Linked DNA regions of Arabidopsis thaliana. The protein of the gene in region 3 interacts with the protein of the main gene of each other region in a pairwise test. Each region holds a gene or a part of one and is shown on either strand. Other genes may lie near its edges. The genes, in order: AL5, AL1 and RING1A.

Evidence for each region.
Region 1: the proteins of RING1A (region 3) and AL5 interact in a two-hybrid assay, tested with the Arabidopsis thaliana proteins (one study listed by BioGRID).
Region 2: the proteins of RING1A (region 3) and AL1 interact in a two-hybrid assay, tested with the Arabidopsis thaliana proteins (one study listed by BioGRID).

The regions. Positions count from the first base shown.
Region 1 is NC_003076.8:6,938,934-6,945,396, forward strand, and holds AL5 (alfin-like 5), read right to left. Parts: upstream 4,079-6,463; 5' UTR 3,914-4,078; coding exon 3,814-3,913; exon of another isoform or gene 3,614-3,813; coding exon 3,581-3,613; exon of another isoform or gene 3,432-3,580; coding exon of another isoform or gene 3,422-3,431; exon of another isoform or gene 3,221-3,421; intron 3,013-3,220; coding exon 2,784-3,012; intron 2,640-2,783; coding exon 2,504-2,639; coding exon of another isoform or gene 2,429-2,503; intron 1,840-2,428; exon of another isoform or gene 1,343-1,839; coding exon 1,058-1,342; 3' UTR 880-1,057; downstream 1-879. Other genes in the region: AT5G20500 (Glutaredoxin family protein), read left to right, coding at 245-318, 466-564, 656-732; WAV2 (alpha/beta-Hydrolases superfamily protein), read right to left, coding at 4,603-4,610, 4,724-4,952, 5,374-5,538, 6,236-6,352, 6,445-6,463. UniProt on the Arabidopsis thaliana protein: Histone-binding component that specifically recognizes H3 tails trimethylated on 'Lys-4' (H3K4me3), which mark transcription start sites of virtually all active genes.
Region 2 is NC_003076.8:1,676,246-1,681,551, reverse strand, and holds AL1 (alfin-like 1), read left to right. Parts: upstream 1-2,444; 5' UTR 2,445-2,609; coding exon 2,610-2,703; intron 2,704-2,799; coding exon 2,800-2,832; intron 2,833-2,956; coding exon 2,957-3,179; intron 3,180-3,724; coding exon 3,725-3,848; intron 3,849-3,969; coding exon 3,970-4,221; 3' UTR 4,222-4,233; exon of another isoform or gene 4,234-4,328; 3' UTR 4,329-4,663; downstream 4,664-5,306. Other genes in the region: GCP2 (gamma-tubulin complex protein 2), read right to left, coding at 1-91, 201-329, 474-518, 611-685, 788-892, 967-1,020, 1,164-1,564, 1,653-1,965 and 1 more. UniProt on the Arabidopsis thaliana protein: Histone-binding component that specifically recognizes H3 tails trimethylated on 'Lys-4' (H3K4me3), which mark transcription start sites of virtually all active genes.
Region 3 is NC_003076.8:17,834,946-17,841,153, reverse strand, and holds RING1A (RING 1A), read left to right. Parts: upstream 1-1,899; 5' UTR 1,900-2,039; coding exon 2,040-2,355; intron 2,356-2,427; exon of another isoform or gene 2,428-2,458; coding exon 2,459-2,504; intron 2,505-2,916; coding exon 2,917-2,975; intron 2,976-3,052; coding exon 3,053-3,083; intron 3,084-3,183; coding exon 3,184-3,226; coding exon of another isoform or gene 3,227-3,265; intron 3,266-3,334; coding exon 3,335-3,351; intron 3,352-3,443; coding exon 3,444-3,564; intron 3,565-3,645; coding exon 3,646-3,687; intron 3,688-3,773; coding exon 3,774-4,325; intron 4,326-4,423; coding exon 4,424-4,531; intron 4,532-4,695; coding exon 4,696-4,905; intron 4,906-5,006; coding exon 5,007-5,039; 3' UTR 5,040-5,305; downstream 5,306-6,208. Other genes in the region: AT5G44290 (Protein kinase superfamily protein), read left to right, coding at 1-184, 267-404; AT5G44270 (TPX2 (targeting protein for Xklp2) protein family), read right to left, coding at 5,414-5,513, 5,614-5,708, 5,796-5,855, 5,938-6,044. UniProt on the Arabidopsis thaliana protein: Putative E3 ubiquitin-protein ligase that mediates monoubiquitination of 'Lys-119' of histone H2A (H2AK119ub), thereby playing a central role in histone code and gene regulation. As part of the PRC1-like complex, repress class I KNOX gene expression.

The DNA.
Region 1 (6,463 bases), about 11 Mb from region 3:
CTTGAACCCAATGAACTTGTATTCGTTAGATTTGGATTTTTATGAGACAACTTTGTTATCTCTGTTTACAAATGGTGGTTGAAATCAATATGGATTTTCGTTTAAGATATATTCAGGTTCAGTTCTCAGTATTTGTTCTCTTTGCTTTTCCTTTGGCCTTAATTGAGTTGTGTAGAGAGATCATGTACCTATGTATATGACTCATCTCTACTTTTCCTTTGCTTCCTTGTGGTTTGGTCAACAGCTACTGCAAGAAAGCTAAATCAGTGTTCAGAGAGCTGGATCAAGTTCCTTATGTTGTCGAGCTTGATGAAAGAGGTGTGTTTTAAGGTTAAAGGGAATCATGTCTTCATCATCCAACAATGTTTCTTAGCTCTCAGACATTTCTGTCATTTGAAACTTTGTCCGATCACTATGTAGAAGATTCATTTGTGACTAATGGTTGGTAAAAATTTGGTCTTGCAGAAGATGGTTGGAGCATCCAGACTGCACTTGGAGAGATTGTTGGAAGGCGAACAGTACCGCAAGTCTTCATTAACGGAAAACATCTCGGAGGATCAGATGGTATACTTAACACTCCTTTTCCTTCAACAAAACGTCTTTGCTTATGCCAACATTTGCTGATCGATAGATTTATCTTTGTTTCTGGTTATAGATACCGTAGATGCGTATGAGAGCGGTGAACTCGCCAAGCTTCTTGGTGTTTCCGGGAACAAAGAAGCTGAACTCTAGGTTATATATAGTTGGAAGAATTGATAACACTCTCTGTGATGCTTAGGTGTAAGCAATTCAATTTCCATTTGTATTGTGTTCTGCAGCTTGATCATGACCTTGTGACAGCTTGATCTTGCCTTTTAAACGTATCTTATCAAAGACCACATTCTGAGTTATACAAATTGGGTTGAGGAATCAAATCTGGACATGCTACAAATAACTTATCTGAACAACACACAAACTTTAAGTGCATTGTACTGTTTGGGGGATAAATAGAGAGTAGCTAAGACTAGTGGAAATAAAACAAAATAGATAGTAGCTAAGATTAGTGGAAATAAAACATCTAGGGTCGTGCTCTTTTGTTGCTGCAAGTAGGGCACTTGTAATGCTTGATATGCTCCGCTCTAGCTGGAGTGATCTTCACACACTCCCCGTGGAACCATTTCTCGCACATGTCACAGCAAATCCAGAATTCATCAGAAGCATAGTTATCTCCACATGCTCCACATAGGGTTTCACCGTGTTCGTCTTCATCCTCATCCTCTTCCTCTTCCCCTTCTTCTAACTCTAATCCTTCTTCCTCATCCTTGGCATGTATCGTCTTTGAACTTTTACTTTCTAAACCTCTCTGCATTCCAGATCAAGAAATGTATTAACTACACCAAAATAGCAGAGAGTAAACTATAAAAAGTAATCAACAAGTGTCACTGGAGCGGTAAGCTTGTGATAAATTGGCCATTTCATTGCATACTGATACAGTAATTCCAGACCTGCCGCTTAGATGATTGCAACTAAAGATACATCTTTGTGCTGCCTGAAACTTAAGAGGTTTCTTATGCCACACAATTCACAAACTACGATTATGGAAGTAAGAGTATTGTGTTCAGTTAATGTTTTAGAACTCAATAGCAAACTGTGTAAGATCTCAATCTATAATGCATATGATGAAACAGATGTTTAAGGAACAAACTTGTGCAGCATACGCTCGAGGTTAGCAGAAAATGAGAAGTATTGTAGGTAGTAGGTACGCTACAACAGTAACCTTAAAGCACAAAAACAAAACAGTTTCTGATACTTTAACCCTGATCAAATATGGTTGTGTTATCTGAAACATAAATAAATATATATGTAGTTATAATATAAGAAGGAAAACCTTTCATATAACTATAAATAATTTCAATGTTCAAATATTTCCAAACGTGTCTCTTAAAAAGTTAGAAATCAAGGTGTTCTGTTAAACTATAGTTGAATTGTGTAGCAGCTACTCAAATGAGACTTCCAAGATAGTGCAATGACTGTATATGAAAATGTCATAAATAGGTTGAATCCTTTACGATGTGAATGTGAATAACATATGCCAGTGCTGTGCTTTATTGAATATCCATTTAACCATTCCTAATTTCTGAAATACTGCAAGACAAAACAAAAAATGATAAGAGTAGACGAAGGACAAAGCTTGAGTATCGAAAAGAAGGTCTAAGAATGAAACAAGAGCTATTTCCGCAAAACTTTCAGGATACCATTAACAATCATAGACCTTTTTCTGTAGGATTGTAGTTGAGTTGTCAGCTCAACTAACGAACAACTTAGACCGGTTAGTGTACTATGGGAGGAGTTATATAGAGAACCGAAGGTGATAGGATCGCGATACTGAGTTGAGAAAGGGTTTGGAAGAGTAGCATAGTAATTAATGTTCATAGTTCCCAGTTCATAGTTAATAAAGGATTTGGTTTGTTCTTAGTTCATAATTAATGTTCTGTATCTTATTAAAGGAGAGCATGAGACTTACCATTTTTGAATTTGACTTGGATCTGTTGCCATTTTGATTTGCTGAAGAGGGCATTTCCTTTGTTTGCTTCTCTGCATTTCCAGTTACAACTTCATATACAGTAGGAACCTCATTTATCATACTAAACAAGCGCTTCCTGAATTTGTAAGTGTACGGGTTAGTATGGAAATGCTTCAGATATCATGATAATTAATGGTAGAGAATTGAGCAGAGAAGATATTAAACAACGAACACCAGGTTAGAAGAGAAAACACAGCAACCAAGAAAGAAAGAATGATACCTGTCAGCTCTATCGAAACCAAATCTTGAACCAAAGTAAAAAGACACAGAAAGTAACCACGCATCACTGTGGACAGCAACGAGAGAAAGCCAGTTTCTTTCCTGCATCCCATCTCTGGCAAAGTTAATGCCGAGTGCAGGTTCGGGAAGCTCAGGAGGCACTTCTTCAGCTGGTAAGTTAACTTCCCACACTTCATTTGGGAATCCATACAAGCAGAGATTCTGCTTCTCTGAAATGTCATAAAACAGTCATACAAACTTCAGTTTATCAACGCTACTTAATTAGCAGAGAAAGCAACGAAATACTCTCTGAAAACGATATTTAGCTACGTAAAATCAAGACAAGCAGCTATATTCAATAACGAAATCATGTTTATTAAATTAATATATTGATGACAAAAAATTAATATATTCCTCTTAACTAAAACAAGTTTTAGAGCCACAAGAAATTTCATAGAGACATGCAACCTCTAAATGGTTATGGTTATGTCGATCAAGGCACAAAGCATGAAGTCAAAAGCGAGATATAGAGAAAGATAACAGCACCAAATGCGAAAGAGTATATAGTTCATGGGGAGACCAAACCACCGAACTAAAATAAAAGTTGCTCAAATGTTCAACATAATCAGTCACCAGTACCAAAACACATGTAAGCAGCAGAGCAAGATCTTATACTTTTCAGTGTGAGTGTCGATTTGGACAAGCCTATGTTACCATCTCAACTTTGCATATTCAAAATCAGGAATAACTGAAACAGCTTGAGAGCATACTTAAGGCTAGAGAGAGAAAAAAGCTAACCAGGGTCGCATTGCTGGAAAAAATCTTCCACATCTGCAAAAAAAAGAAATTAATTGTTCTTAATTCGAAGAACTAAGCATCATCAACACAATCCATAACACTAGAGCACAATTGTTGAAAAAGGGTCTAAATAAAGCCACCAAACGATCGTCATGAGAAGAATTCCCACGAAAAACTCAAAACCCATAAGAAAAGTTTCAAACTTTAAAAAGCAAAGAGAAGAAAGAAGAGACCAGTGGTGAGAGCTTGGATGATGCCAGCTCGACGGCCCTTAAAATCTCGAAAGACTTCTTCGACAGTTCGAGGGCTGTAGTGCGCAGTTCCTCCTTCCATGTCCGTCTCTCCTCTCTCGGAAACGATGAAAGAACAGTGAGGTTTGCTTCTTTTTTTTTTCTAAAGCAGAATTTTTGTTCTTAAGTGATAAAGTAAGAAAACTTAATGCAGACTAAAAAGTTGCCCCGTGGACAGTGACCGACCCGGTCTAGTCACAACACTTATTTAAAAATAAAAATACATAAATAATGGACATTAATAATGTCTTCGTGCGTTTAGTTTGGTGTTATCTCATTTTCAAACATAATCAAGTTTGTCGGGAAAAAAACTACTCTACAGATTTCATAAATATTATGAATGACAGACGTAATCAACACATTCAAGATATAATCATATAACCATGTCTTTTTTCACTTTTCTCAATCATCTACAAAGCCATGATCATCCAGAGGAAATAGTTACGATCAGATGAGAAACACCAACAACAATTGGAAAAAAAATAACCCAAAAAAAAGAAGGAAAACTGAGACGAAGCAAATGCATCTGATTAGCTTACACTTGCCATCTCCACTAGCTGGTTCTGCTTACAAAAGTTCCTGTCCAATATCTCACTCTCTGAACAAGTTGTATCTGTCACTCCCAAATGCAACATACGTATACACATGCTTATAACAAACAATACCGTCGTTTCAGGTTGCAATAGGAAATAAGTGAGTCGAATCTTCCTCTAAACACAGCATCGTTGATCGTTACCTTCCTGTCATCAGATTAGAGACCAACGTCAAGCCTAGTATTCTACTTTGGGAAAAACATCCCAAGAAACATCTCTGTAAAACAAAATTGTTACTTATACTTGGTAGATCATCTTACCTGTATCTTCTTTCCTTTTCTCAGGCGCATACTTTTCGAGAAATTGCAAGTTTGTTTTCCAGTAAACTTCACCACCAGACAGCCATGTATCCATATGCATCCCACTTGGAAACTCCACAAATGTGCACTGAGGGTTACGGGCAGCCGCTTTCGCATACAGCATTTTCATGTGAAATGGAGGGACCATCTCATCTTGCAGTCCAGAGAGGAAAAGCACTGGTTGTTTGATCTGTCATTGTTGCAAGATCAGTTTATCACAGGTTGCTACAGAAAATCAAACGATGAGACATTTTTTTAACAGGGATATGTTTTTAGCAGCACATCAAGCTCCTTTCTTGTTTCCTTTCAAGTTTTACTCCATAGAACAAATCAGGGAGCAATCAATCAGCTTGCGGCATACATGAATAATTTTATAGTTCGGGTTAGCTTATCATGAATTCAACATATTCCGCAAAGATATATACACTATGTCCCGTTAAAAGGAAATGAAGGAATGCAAATGCATGAGATATATTAATATATATGCCAGTGAGGTCATTGGGGTACCATAGTGTTTTTTGCTTAAATGAGTCATTTTATGGCATATGCAAACAGTAAACGAAAAGAATCCATCTAACATCTATCTGCAAGAGTCTACATTTGCATCTTACCTCAGCAATAGCATCAATTGTTTTCCAGGGAGAACGTACAACAAAATTAAGAAGCTTCAGGCTTTTCGTACCACTTCCTCCAATAAACCACTTCAAGAACGGCAGCAAAACGCCAGCCATATCAAGAATGGATGTGAAAGTATTTTCCAGAATCAATGCAGATACCTATATAGCGACATTGAGAAATGGTAAACATACAACTATAAGGCGTGTGGATATCAAATGAAATACTGGAAGTAGAGACAACAAGAACAAAAATAATAGCTTAATCAAGGCATCTACAAATTTCATTTACCAAGAAATTTTCTGAGAAGGATAAGGTTCTTGTGCATATAATAGTAAATATCAGTGGGGGTGATAAAAGGAGGCCTATAACAAAGCTCAAACGAATACCCCTATCAACCAGGTTCTTTTATTGCCAGATGACTAAAACTTTAACACAAAAAATAATTATATTCAGATAGTACAAACCGCGTAGATTGTTACTGATGATAAGTGACTAGAATCTAAATAAAGAGGTACTCTAGAAATTTTTATACAATTGGACTCCAGGTCATCTGCCAAAGACCATGAGTTATAATAATTTGCAACAGTAACCAGAATCTCATTAATATACTGATAAGAAGCCATCCAAACCAAGCCCCTAGAGGAGAGAGGAAGGTGCCCTTAGGCGTTATAATTTATAAGGCATTTGTTAGTCTCATTCGTAACCATGTGGGACTCTCAATAATACTTCTCCCTTTAAACAGTAACATCCACAGAGCTGGCGGCTGGTACTTGGCCTATACTGTCTCTCTTCTAATAAAATATACATTTTCCCTACTCATGAAATGCTACCAATAGCAATATGTACTAATAGTACCTTATCTGGATTGTTTTTGGTAAGCACAGCTCCAACAGCTCCCCCAAGGGACCTTCCAAATACAACTATTCTAGATGTATCAATGTCAGTCCTTCCAGAAAGGTGATCCAATGCAGCCTAACAAAAAATATCAGGCAAGAAAATGGATAATGAATACATGGAGACGCAACAGAAGAGATATGTGGATAAATTTAGGGAGACAAGCAAACCTGAGCATCTTTTATGATA
Region 2 (5,306 bases), about 16 Mb from region 3:
TGATGTAATCTGGAGACTCACAGGCCTTATATTCGTCTACCAAACTCTCAATTATGTCCCTTGATTCATCAAACTCTGAAAGATCATTGTCCTGTCCATATCAACATGTAGATTCTCATGATTTCAACATTAACTGTCAATGCTAATAATAGGGTGGGTTGCACTAAACATCAGCCGATATATTTGAGCAGTCAACTTACAGCAAACATTGGAAACTTTCGGTAATTGTCAAGAAAAGCTTGCTTCTTCCTCAATTTGTCATATTGGCTCAAACATCTGCTGAAAAGGTGCCTGATACTAGTGTGGCTTGCTAACATAAGACCACTGACCTGAAATATCAAATACACCACCAAACTTAAGAGTCTTCGATGTATCTACTAAAGCAGGAACTGCAGCCTTAGACATTAACTGTAAGGAGTACCAACTCTCAGCATGAGTGCATGACAGATATATATAGAGTGATATAAGATTACCCTATGGGAAGTTTGAACATACGGGGACTTCTTGGAAAGAGCAACCTGTTGAGAGTAAGATATGGAAAAAATTGTGATGCAAGTCCATGGTAAATCCAAAAGCAATAATTAATTTGACGACGCAATTCGGTTAGAACCTGTATGCTTGCTGGTCCCCAGTCTATGAAATTGACAAGCTTTCTTTCTCGTATCCTCTGCAAACTCTCATGCACCTAATATCAAGTAGTGAGACAACAGAGCAGATAACATCAACAAGAAAGAATTACCGATTCATCCTCAATATATCGAACAAAAAAATTAGTACATAAAAGTACCTGAGTGGGATCGACTTCTCCTTGAATTATATTCAATATTGATATGTACTTTGCCTGACTAGCTTCTTTGTTTCTAGCATAAGACGAAACCATGATATTTTTTGTCTGCGAATACAATCATGTTAGAAGAAAATCTAATTCAATTTTCGAAAAAAGACTGGAGAAAGCAAACAGCTCACCTGTAGAAGTCTCCTCATAACATCCAGCACAGTAGTTTTACGAATAACATTTGCCTGCCAAGAACAATTCACATAAGAGAGTAGGAAATCAATGAAAATGTCAATCATAACATTCAGAAGTCATGTTCCAGATAACAGCAGCTTCCCATAAAAATGGTTTGATGATATTAGTTATAAAACTGATTGAGATATCTAACCTGGCGCTCAACAGTCAACGGTGTATATCCAGTCATGAGGAAGTGACACCTTGGAGTTGGGATCAAAGATGCAAGCAAGCCAACCAAGTCATTATTCATGTATCCAGGATAACGCAACGTTGTTGTGCTAGCAGACATCACAGTTGACACCAAAGAATTGGTCTGAGCAAAAGTAGGATTAGTCAAATGTAGACGCTCCACAGCAATTCTGTTCAATGCAGTGTTGTCAAGAACAACAACACAATCAGCATTTAACGTAAGCCGCTTCAGCGTCAACAGTGAGTTGTAGGGCTGGACAACAACGTCACTCGTTTCCATCTGATTGGGAAATACACTGTATGTCTGAACCAACTTCTTGCTATAACGATCATTCAAAGTCTCCAACAAATAAGATCCCATTCCTTCATGTGAAAATACATAAAAAAAAGTCATTCAGTGAATAAACATAAGCTAAACGAAGATAGGGATTGGCAATAAAAAGTAAAATACCTGAGCCAGTGCCTCCAGCAATAGAGTGGCAAAGAACAAAACCCTCCAGACTGTCACTTCCATCAGCTTCACGATCAATCATGTCCATGATTTCCTCTTCAACACCTTTCCCTTGGTGATATCCACTGGCCCAGTTATTACCAGCACCACCGCCATGGTCAGAAAGGAAGATATTTTCATGATTGTAGAGATTCCGGTATTCACCATTCTGAATACCATTGATAACTCTAGGCTCCAAATCAATGAGGAGAGCTCTTGGTATATAGTGTTGGTCATCCGCTTGGTAAAAAAACACATCTTTTCTATCACCTCCCTACATACATACAAGTAGTTCATCAATCAAATCCACAATTCTATGAACAACAACAACAAACCAGCAACCATGGAATTCAATTAATCGATGCATAGAAACGAATTCGAAGAAAGAGGACCTGAGTAGCGAAGTCCTCGAGAATACCATCTTTGCTGATGCCGTGCTCAAGGCAAAGCTGTTTCCAGAACTCCATACCGATCTGGTTCCCACATTGTCCAACCTGAAGCGTAATTATCTCCCTCGGCATCTTCTTCCTCTGTAAAACCCTACCTAAGTGTTTCGAGACTACTACGCCTGAAGAGGATGATCAAACTATACTCATTAAAGCCACACTTTCAGCTTCTTCTTTACTCATTTACAGAGAGATACAGAGAGAAAACGTCGTTTTATCAGAATTCAACTCGATGGGCCATGGGCCAGGCCCATTTTAAAATAGAGACCAAAAACAGAAGTTACTTTACTACTACTACTCTTAAAGTCTTAAACTCTGGTCTCTCTCTATCTCTCTTGTCCGTGCGCATCGGATTTTGGAAACCATTGATGCAGACCTCAATCCATCTCTAACACCACTGATCTATCTACTTAGGTCTTCTCTAACAATACTTGTAATTTTCTTTCTTTTTGCTTCTTCCGTCACTACATCTATGGCCGCTGAGTCTTCTAACCCTCGCACCGTCGAAGAGATCTTCAAGGATTTTAGCGGTCGTCGCTCCGGTTTTCTTCGAGCTCTCTCCGTAGGTTAGACGACGACGCTATCCTCATTTTCTCCTATTTTCTCGTAAATGTTAAGCTTTCTAATTTTACATGTTGTTGTTCTTGCCTCTCTTTTACTAGATGTTGACAAGTTCTACTCTTTATGCGATCCGGGTAAACGAGCTCTTTCCATGGTTATTTTTCGGATCTGTGTTTGTTTTTTCCATGGATAAGTTTCAGAAAAAGATACCCTTTTTGATAAATTTTGTTCCTTTTTTTGTTTATTGGGTGGTCTTAGAAATGGAGAATCTGTGTTTGTACGGACACCCGAATGGGACATGGGAAGTGAATCTTCCAGCTGAGGAAGTGCCTCCGGAGCTACCTGAGCCAGCTCTTGGAATCAATTTCGCTAGAGATGGTATGCAGCGTAAAGATTGGCTCTCTTTAGTTGCTGTCCACAGTGATTGTTGGTTACTCTCTGTTTCTTCTTACTTCGGCGCTCGTCTTAATCGCAATGAGAGGTACGTTTGCCTTTTGTTCTTGCTTGTTTCAGTGACTTTTATAAATTGTCGAAGATAGTTTTACTGTGCTAGCTAGATTGTGGTGGTAATGATGAGAAAAAATATGTCTTTGGACAATGGACTGTATCATGATTCATGAGCTTGTGTCATCACTATTTTGTTTTTGTTTCCTGATTCTTTCTGTCACTTTAACTCTACTTGTCAATGAGCTTCTTTCCTTCTTAGGTTAAGTTTCTTTAAATGCATACCATTTTTCACTAATCCTTCTGTTTTTTGAACTTGTGCATCGTTTGGATATAGAAATGGCTACTACATTCAATACATATCTGTTCTATCGGAGCTGATGATATCGTGGTATTCACTAGGTTACTTATCCAGTTATCCTTCAAGTTTTATTTCCTTTACGTTCTATAAGAGTCTATGTTTTTGCTGGTAATGAAGCTCATAAGTTACATATGTGCGGGTATATGAGCTTATTTGATAGTCTTCTGAGATTATGCTACTGGGTCTAGGAACTTATTATGTATGTTCCATTCAATGAGCAGGAAACGTCTATTTAGTCTGATCAACGATCTCCCAACTCTCTTTGAAGTAGTGACGGGTAGGAAACCCATCAAAGACGGTAAACCAAGCATGGATCTCGGAAGCAAATCCAGAAACGGCGTAAAGGTATCATAATGAACTCTTTACTAATCTTTACCATCCCAAAACAGTATTTTCTTCTCAAAGACAGAGAAGGGTTTGATATTAATAAATTAGTTGTGTTTTGGTTGGTATTGAATTGTTGCAGAGATCAATTGAAGGGCAGACAAAGAGCACGCCGAAACTAATGGAAGAGAGCTATGAAGATGAAGACGATGAGCATGGAGACACACTCTGTGGAAGTTGTGGAGGAAACTACACAAACGACGAGTTCTGGATATGTTGTGATGTGTGTGAACGTTGGTACCATGGGAAGTGTGTGAAGATAACACCAGCCAAAGCAGAGAGCATCAAGCAATACAAATGCCCTTCTTGCTGCACTAAGAAAGGAAGACAGTGAGTGAATGAATGAGTGAGTCATCTTTCTCATTTTTCCTTATTTCTTTTTAAGTTATTGCAAAACATCCTTTTGTTAATGTATGAATACAAAACAATTATTGGTGTTAGATTCTCAAAAAGGGCGTTTTAAAATAGTAATGAGGGTATGAGACATGGAGAGAGTCATAGAGACACCAGCTGCTTAGAGAGCTTCGTCAACTTTTGATCAAATATGCCATGTGTTTGTATATGTAGCGACTCTACTACTTTCATCGTTTATGTGTGTAATCTCTCTTTAGGCTAATATAAAAAAAAATATTCTTATGTAAGGTTGATCTTCATAATCTCTCATATGGTATTTTAACTAAGAGTTTGTACTGACAAAATTTAAGTGGTTATAGTGGTGTTTTGTTATGTACACAAAACCAAAATAGTGGGGAAAAAACCTCATCTCCTGCAGTCTCTAATCCCTAAAACTGAATTGACGGGAAAAGTCGTTATATTTGTGATTTCAATTTCATAAAGTATAGTATAACCTCCATAAATTAATACTCGACAAATTAATAACTTTTATAAATTAATAAATTCTTCCGGTTCTAAGTTGGGACCAATGTAAAAATTGATACAAATTAATAAATTAATAAGATAATAACTTTTTTTGAAAATCTTATATAAATATATGGTCCCATCAATATTATAAATTAATAATTATGTAAATTTACCAATATATATATATATATATATATATATTCTATTTAAAATATTTATTGAAATATGACTCTAGTATTATTTTTTCTTCAATTTCTATTAATTATTTGTAGAGTTTAATTCTAATATTTTTATTACGTCAAAAAAACTTTGTATTATTTTTTAAACTTAATAATTATTTTTTCCTTGTAATTAATTTTAGAAAAAATGATTAATTATAAAGAAAAACTACTTTTATATCGAAATTTTATAAAAAATAATACAAAATTTGTAAAAATTTTCTATAAATTAATAATTATTAATTTATCGATAAATTAATACCTCTCTAAATTAATAAATTTTCTCGGTCCCAACATTATTAATTTATAGAGATTTTACTGTACAACAATTACCACACTT
Region 3 (6,208 bases):
GAAGGACAATGCAGCCCCTAGAATACCTTCATATAGGGCTAACTCAGCAGGACAAGGAGGCGGTTATGTTGGGTCAGATCAACAAATGATGGATCAGCAAAGGAAGGAATTGAGAACATTCAACAGAGCTGACACTATGGATAATAGTAAAAGACAAACCAAAATCCCAAATGACCCATCTTGGGTAAGTCATCTCAAGAGACTATTTTTTTCCTCATTTCTCAGTTACATTGTCTTTATCTCTCTCTCTCTCTTTGGAGATATAGTATGATTCAGGGGATAACAAGATGTACATGTCCGGTCCATTACTGGCTCAGCCAAGAAAAGTGGATCAGATGCTGGAAGAACACGACCGGCAGCTCCAAGATTTCACCAGACAGAAAGCAAAACACTGCAGAAACTAAATCACGTATCTGAATGATTTTGCTGGGAGTCTTTTATCAGAGGACAAAAACAGAGAACCATTCAAGTCTTGTTGTATCAAGAAGAGTCTTATTTGGTTCGTAGATTTTGAAAAATTTGTTTGTAATATATAGAGATTAAAAGATTGTTGTTGGCTTATAAAAAGCTAAGCTCTGTGGTTATAGAGTGATGTGTATAACATTTATACAGACTCATCATAGAGTTTGGTTCTTTGTGTATATTACATGTATGTACACTTCTTCATATATTACAGAGATGTGTACATAACATAACATATCCATATATGTTTCATAGATTCCTATTATCAGTATGCTGTTTCTGATTACATATTTTTACAAGTTCCTAACTTTCAATCAGATTCTGATAAAAGGCTCTTGAAGATAGTAAAACAGTTTGATAAAGATTTGAAAGAAGAAACATATGGAGAATCAGATTAACAAGTCATTCTCATACACAGTAAACTGTGTCAGAAGGTGTCCTAAGATATTTACTGATTATTATCATCATATTTCTCCAAGATGTTATCTTTCACCAATTTGATTACTTGAAAAACTGAATCTGAAATTACTAAAAACAAAACTTATGAAAACTGTTTTCTTTAAAGGGATGAAGAATCAGAAAGAACGTAGCGAATTGAAGTTTTTATCGATCAATTGAATCTAAAGAATCATCACACATAATCGACAACTTTCATCACATTCTTCAGACCAATTTCAAACAAAGAAAATTCGTAAAACGGAATATTGCAAAAGAAGCGAAATTGAGAAACGAGAAGAAGAAATCGAATGAATGTACAAAGAACGGCGGAAGATGAGCTATTTATAAGAGATTGAGAAGAAACCCTAAATTTATCTGTTTGACTAAAAAAGACAAAATCTTTAAACTCTCTGTTTGGACACAAGTACAATTCCAGTTCGGACTGTTTTTATTGGTTACAAATTTCCTTTTTCTTCCTTTGCTTTTGTTGGGCCTTCTTGCTTAAACATTCTTTACTCAATTTTGGCCCAGTCTATTGTTCTAATTTAATACAATAAACCTTGTTAAATATAGTTTAACGAAAGTGATAAACAAATAGCCGTCTTAGCTCAGTGGTAGAGCGCGTGGCTTTTAACCACGTGGCCGTGGGTTCGATCCCCACAGACGGCGTAGCTCTTTGATTTTGTTATAGTTAGTCATTTTATTATTTTTAGTCAAAAATTCAATTTTACAATTTAATCATGGCTTTGGCAAGTGAGCAAGTGGGTTTAAATTTAAATATTTTTCTTTTTTTTCGACAGCAATACAATTTTATAAAAGCGGTCGATTTTATGTTTTTTAAGTTTTATAATCCGGTTTAAATAATAGAATTAGGAGATATTAAGAAGAAAAAAATATAATTAGGATATATTAATTAAAGTGAAGAAAAATGGCAAAAAAAAAAAAGAGGCCAAAATTCTCACTTTTTTCTTCGACCGATTTCTTTCTCCTATTTCGTCTATATCGGCACCGAACCAAAAACACAAACGAAGCAGAACAAGAAGAAGAAGAAGAATAGAGAGAGACGTAGAGAGAGAGAGACAAAGGCTGAGCCTTTTGGGTTTCTCTTAGAGAGAAGATCTTTAGTGTGTGTCCCTACAATGTCTGTCAAGAATAATAGCTTCTCGTCGGCTGAGATTCCCGATGTGGCAGACCAACCACGCGACCGATTTAACCCCGAAGCTACACAGGATCTACAAGAGAAGGATGAGACGAAAGAAGAGAAAGAAGGAGATGAGGAAGTGAAACACGACGAAGCGGAGGAAGACCAAGAAGTAGTGAAACCCAACGACGCCGAGGAAGATGATGATGGTGACGATGCAGAGGAGGACGAGGAAGAAGAAGTAGAAGCAGAGGAAGATGAAGAAGCAGAGGAAGAGGAAGAAGAAGAAGAGGAAGAAGAAGAAGAAGAAGAAGGTAAAGGATGTGTTTTTGTTTCTTCTACTCTCGTGTAAACGTGAGAGTGTTTTGTGTTTGTTCATGTGATCGATTTGGTTCTCTCTCTTTGTTTCTGTTTCAGATTCTAAAGAAAGAAGTCCATCTTCTATATCTGGAGACCAATCAGAGTAATGATTTTTCTCATTTCTCTGTCTTTCTCTTCTCCAGATGTGTTTAGCTTGTGATGGGTTCTCTACTCCAATATTTCTTTACTTCTGTTGTTCTAGTCAATTAAATGTTAAAATTGCTCTGCTTGATTTAGTAATCTGTTGATGCATCTTCTTAGCACTTGCATGTTGTAATTCCTCTCGTATTACTGCTCAAAACCTCTACGCTCTTGTGGCTAAACAATGTAAAGTCTTTACCTTGAATAATAGCGGCCATTACTGGAAGTTGTGTCCTAAGAATGATTCATCTTCTATTTAACTTGACCTTTAGAATGTCAGCTTTATTTTTGTCTTGAGATAGATTCTTTACTGTAGAATAAAGAAGCTGGATGGATCTTTCTTGTTTAATTGTGTCTGCATTTTTTTCATGCAGGTTTATGGAAATTGATCTAGGGGAAATCCGTAAAGACGTGCAGTGTCCAATATGCCTAGGTACTCAATTTTGTCCTGAATATTTCTCGTTGGGAACAGAACTTTTGCTAAAGCTCGAAAGCCGTTACTTTCTTCAGTCGGCATGAAATTCTTGCGTCTTTTCATATCGTATTCTTGTAGATAAGTCGGCATGATTTGGTTCACACTCTATTTTTAAGCTACATTACTACATCTGGCTGAAACGAGTTTCTTGTTGTCCTGTTTTCAGGTATTATAAAGAAAACAAGGACTGTGATGGAATGTCTCCACAGGTTCTGCCGGGAATGTATTGATAAGTCAATGAGATTGGGGTACGGTTTCAAATTGTTTGGGTCTTACTCTTATTATCTATGTTGTTTTCGTTTCTTCTTGCTTCTCAGTTCTGTGCCACTTTCAAGTTAAATATTTCATCATTCTCTTGGGAGCCATAAGTGTTGGCTTTTCTAAAGCTTTTTTTTGAGTTTATATTAACTGAAGTTTCTATTGCAGGAATAACGAATGTCCTGCTTGCAGGAAGCATTGTGCAAGCCGGCGTTCTCTAAGAGACGATCCGAAATTTGATGCTCTTATTGCTGCTTTATTTACAAATATTGATAGTTATGAGGAAGAGGTAAAGCATCAACATATTTTTCCTGCTTGTTTGTTTTGGAGAGATTGTTGCTGTTAAAACGCTTTGTTTTTTTTGGTTCAGGAACTGGCTTTTCACGAAGATGAAATGGCTCGTAATAAGCAGGTCGGATACCATGGAGAATGTTGTTATTCACTTTTTTGACTATTGCTTAAAATATACTTAATCACCTTCTTATGGCTTTTGTGTAGATTCAAGCATCTATAGCTCAGATATCGCAACGACAATCTGAGGCTCTTGTGAAAAGACGATCTCTTGGTAAAGAGGCAGCAGTCTTAATGAGATCACCGCGTATTGCTAGTGGCTCCAGAAGGAGACGGAACAGCAGAAACATGGAACAACAAAACGCATCAGAAGCTCATGAAGATGATGATAATGATGATAATAACAACAGAGGAAGAGACAAAGATTCGTCTTCAGATGAGCGTGGTACAGAAGTCCGGCAGAAGAAACGTAGAAAACGGTCTACAAGTCGTTCAACACAACACCCTTCTTCTTCAGGTGCAAACAAAAACAATGGTAACTGTGCAGATAACGACACAGAAGTGTATAGAGACACCAAAGGCATATCTCCCGGGCTTGTGTGGAATCCCGAGATACTGGCTTGGGGAAGAGGCGGGACAAGGAGTAACACAAGGCATGGGAATAATACTTCTGGAGGTAGTAGTAAGAGTGTAAGGAATGCCCGTGTGAACAAACTTGTTGAATATCTACGCAGCAGCGTAGATGGATCTAGTGTTGAGGTACCAAAGAAAAAAAACGATGATTCTCTTCTTCTTGATGACCTGTATTTTTGATTGCAGTTAGTTTGGATTTCGATTAAACTTAATCTTTCTTGCAGTTGGATATTCATGTCAAGCTTGTCTCGCTGGATACAAAATGTATACCAGACTTACCACAGCCATATCTCTGTTGCCGACCCACTTTGCTTGTAAAACAGCTCCGTGAAGTGAGCACTCTCTCTCCCTTTACAGTTATCATCAGACTTGTCACAGTAGAAAGTGGTTTTTTGTTATATATATTGATGCGAAAGTACTTCAATATGATTCAATAACAAAAATGATTTCAGTATCACATACGCTAATATATTTGTCAACTTTCAATGTTGTACAGTTCGTTGCACTTCAGATACATTTGAAGACTGAAGAGGTTGAATTGTTAGTAACAAGAAGAAGAGTAGGAGAAGATGCGGCAATAGAGAATCTTCCTGCAGTGACTCCAGCTTCAGCAGCAGCATCTAAAGATGAGATGCTGAGTTTGGAAGACAATGAAACATTGTCAAGGCTCAAAATCGATTTCATTTCAAGCCATGAACAACATTTGGTAGCGTCAATAATAATAATTTTTATCTAAATATCTTACAGTCTAATCTAAGTATGATTCAACTTTGTGAGACTTTTTCCTTATTTGGTTTGTGCCTTCAGATCATAGCTTACCGGAAGAAGCAAACTGAGTGAAGAAACTTGGAGCCTAATGGACGTGCTGCGGAAGTGCAAACAGTGTATAATATATAAACAGATGGATCAGGGCTTGTTTTGTTTATCCGTTTGCTAGATTATATATCTCAGTTGGTTTTTTTATTTAGGAAGTTTTTTGTTTGTGACAAACTTTTTTCCTTTGTGTATTCATTGTAGACGTTGCTTAGTATTTCCGGAGCAAGTTTTTATATGGAAACCTTTTTTTTACTATATATATATCAGTCAAGTCTCAGAACACAGGAAGATTATGCTACTGCCTCATTTTATAATGGAGACGTTGAGCGGTTGGTGCGGTTCAAACGTTCTTGAACAGCAATATCTGCTGCTGCTTAGTCTTTTTTACTTTTTAACAGCTACCTCATGTGAGGAGAAACCATCATCATTGTTCTCCTGTCGATTCTTCTAATCACTCTAAGCTTTGGTGAATTTGGTTTTGTCGTCTCCTTGTTCGACCTGTGTTTAATTGACATGGAGTTTTCTTTGTTTAACAAGTGTAGGTAAAAATCAAGAACAGAAAAGAAGAAATCAACTCCTGGTTTGGATCAGAACTTACTTGTGAGGTAAGAATGGGTTGTTAAGGTTTGACACTGGTCTGGTTTGAGGAACGATTGTCCTTCTCAGTTGTTTTAGAGCTCTCTCTTCCTCTACCTGACAAAGTTTTAGGTAAAATACATTTACTATCATACTCTTTTATTAGATACATCTATACTTGGCAGAAAATTTATAGTATTATACCATTTTTGCGGCTTCCGCCTCTTCGAGATGTCTCTTGTACATCATCTCTTTCTCTTTGATCTGGAACCAAAGATGATAGAACAAGTTAGTTGAGAAATCAAAAGGTTTCTTTTAATCTGCTGATCGAGTTAGATAAGCTTACTTTATGGTCAAAGTCTGCCCTTTCGATAGGCCGATGGTCCACATGCAGATTAAACTCTTGAAAAATTCTGTAAGAGGCCTTTAGTTTATCCAGAACAGAAATTTGATCTCTGAGTCAGCCAGTCAGGTGAGAATTCACAGAAATTATTTGAGTCTTTGAATATGTAAAGGAAACTGTATATGTTGACGAAGAAACAGCAGATGAACAGTCACTTACTCTTTAATCACTGGCTGTGCTCTGAAGACAATAGGAAACAAACAAAAGCTCTATA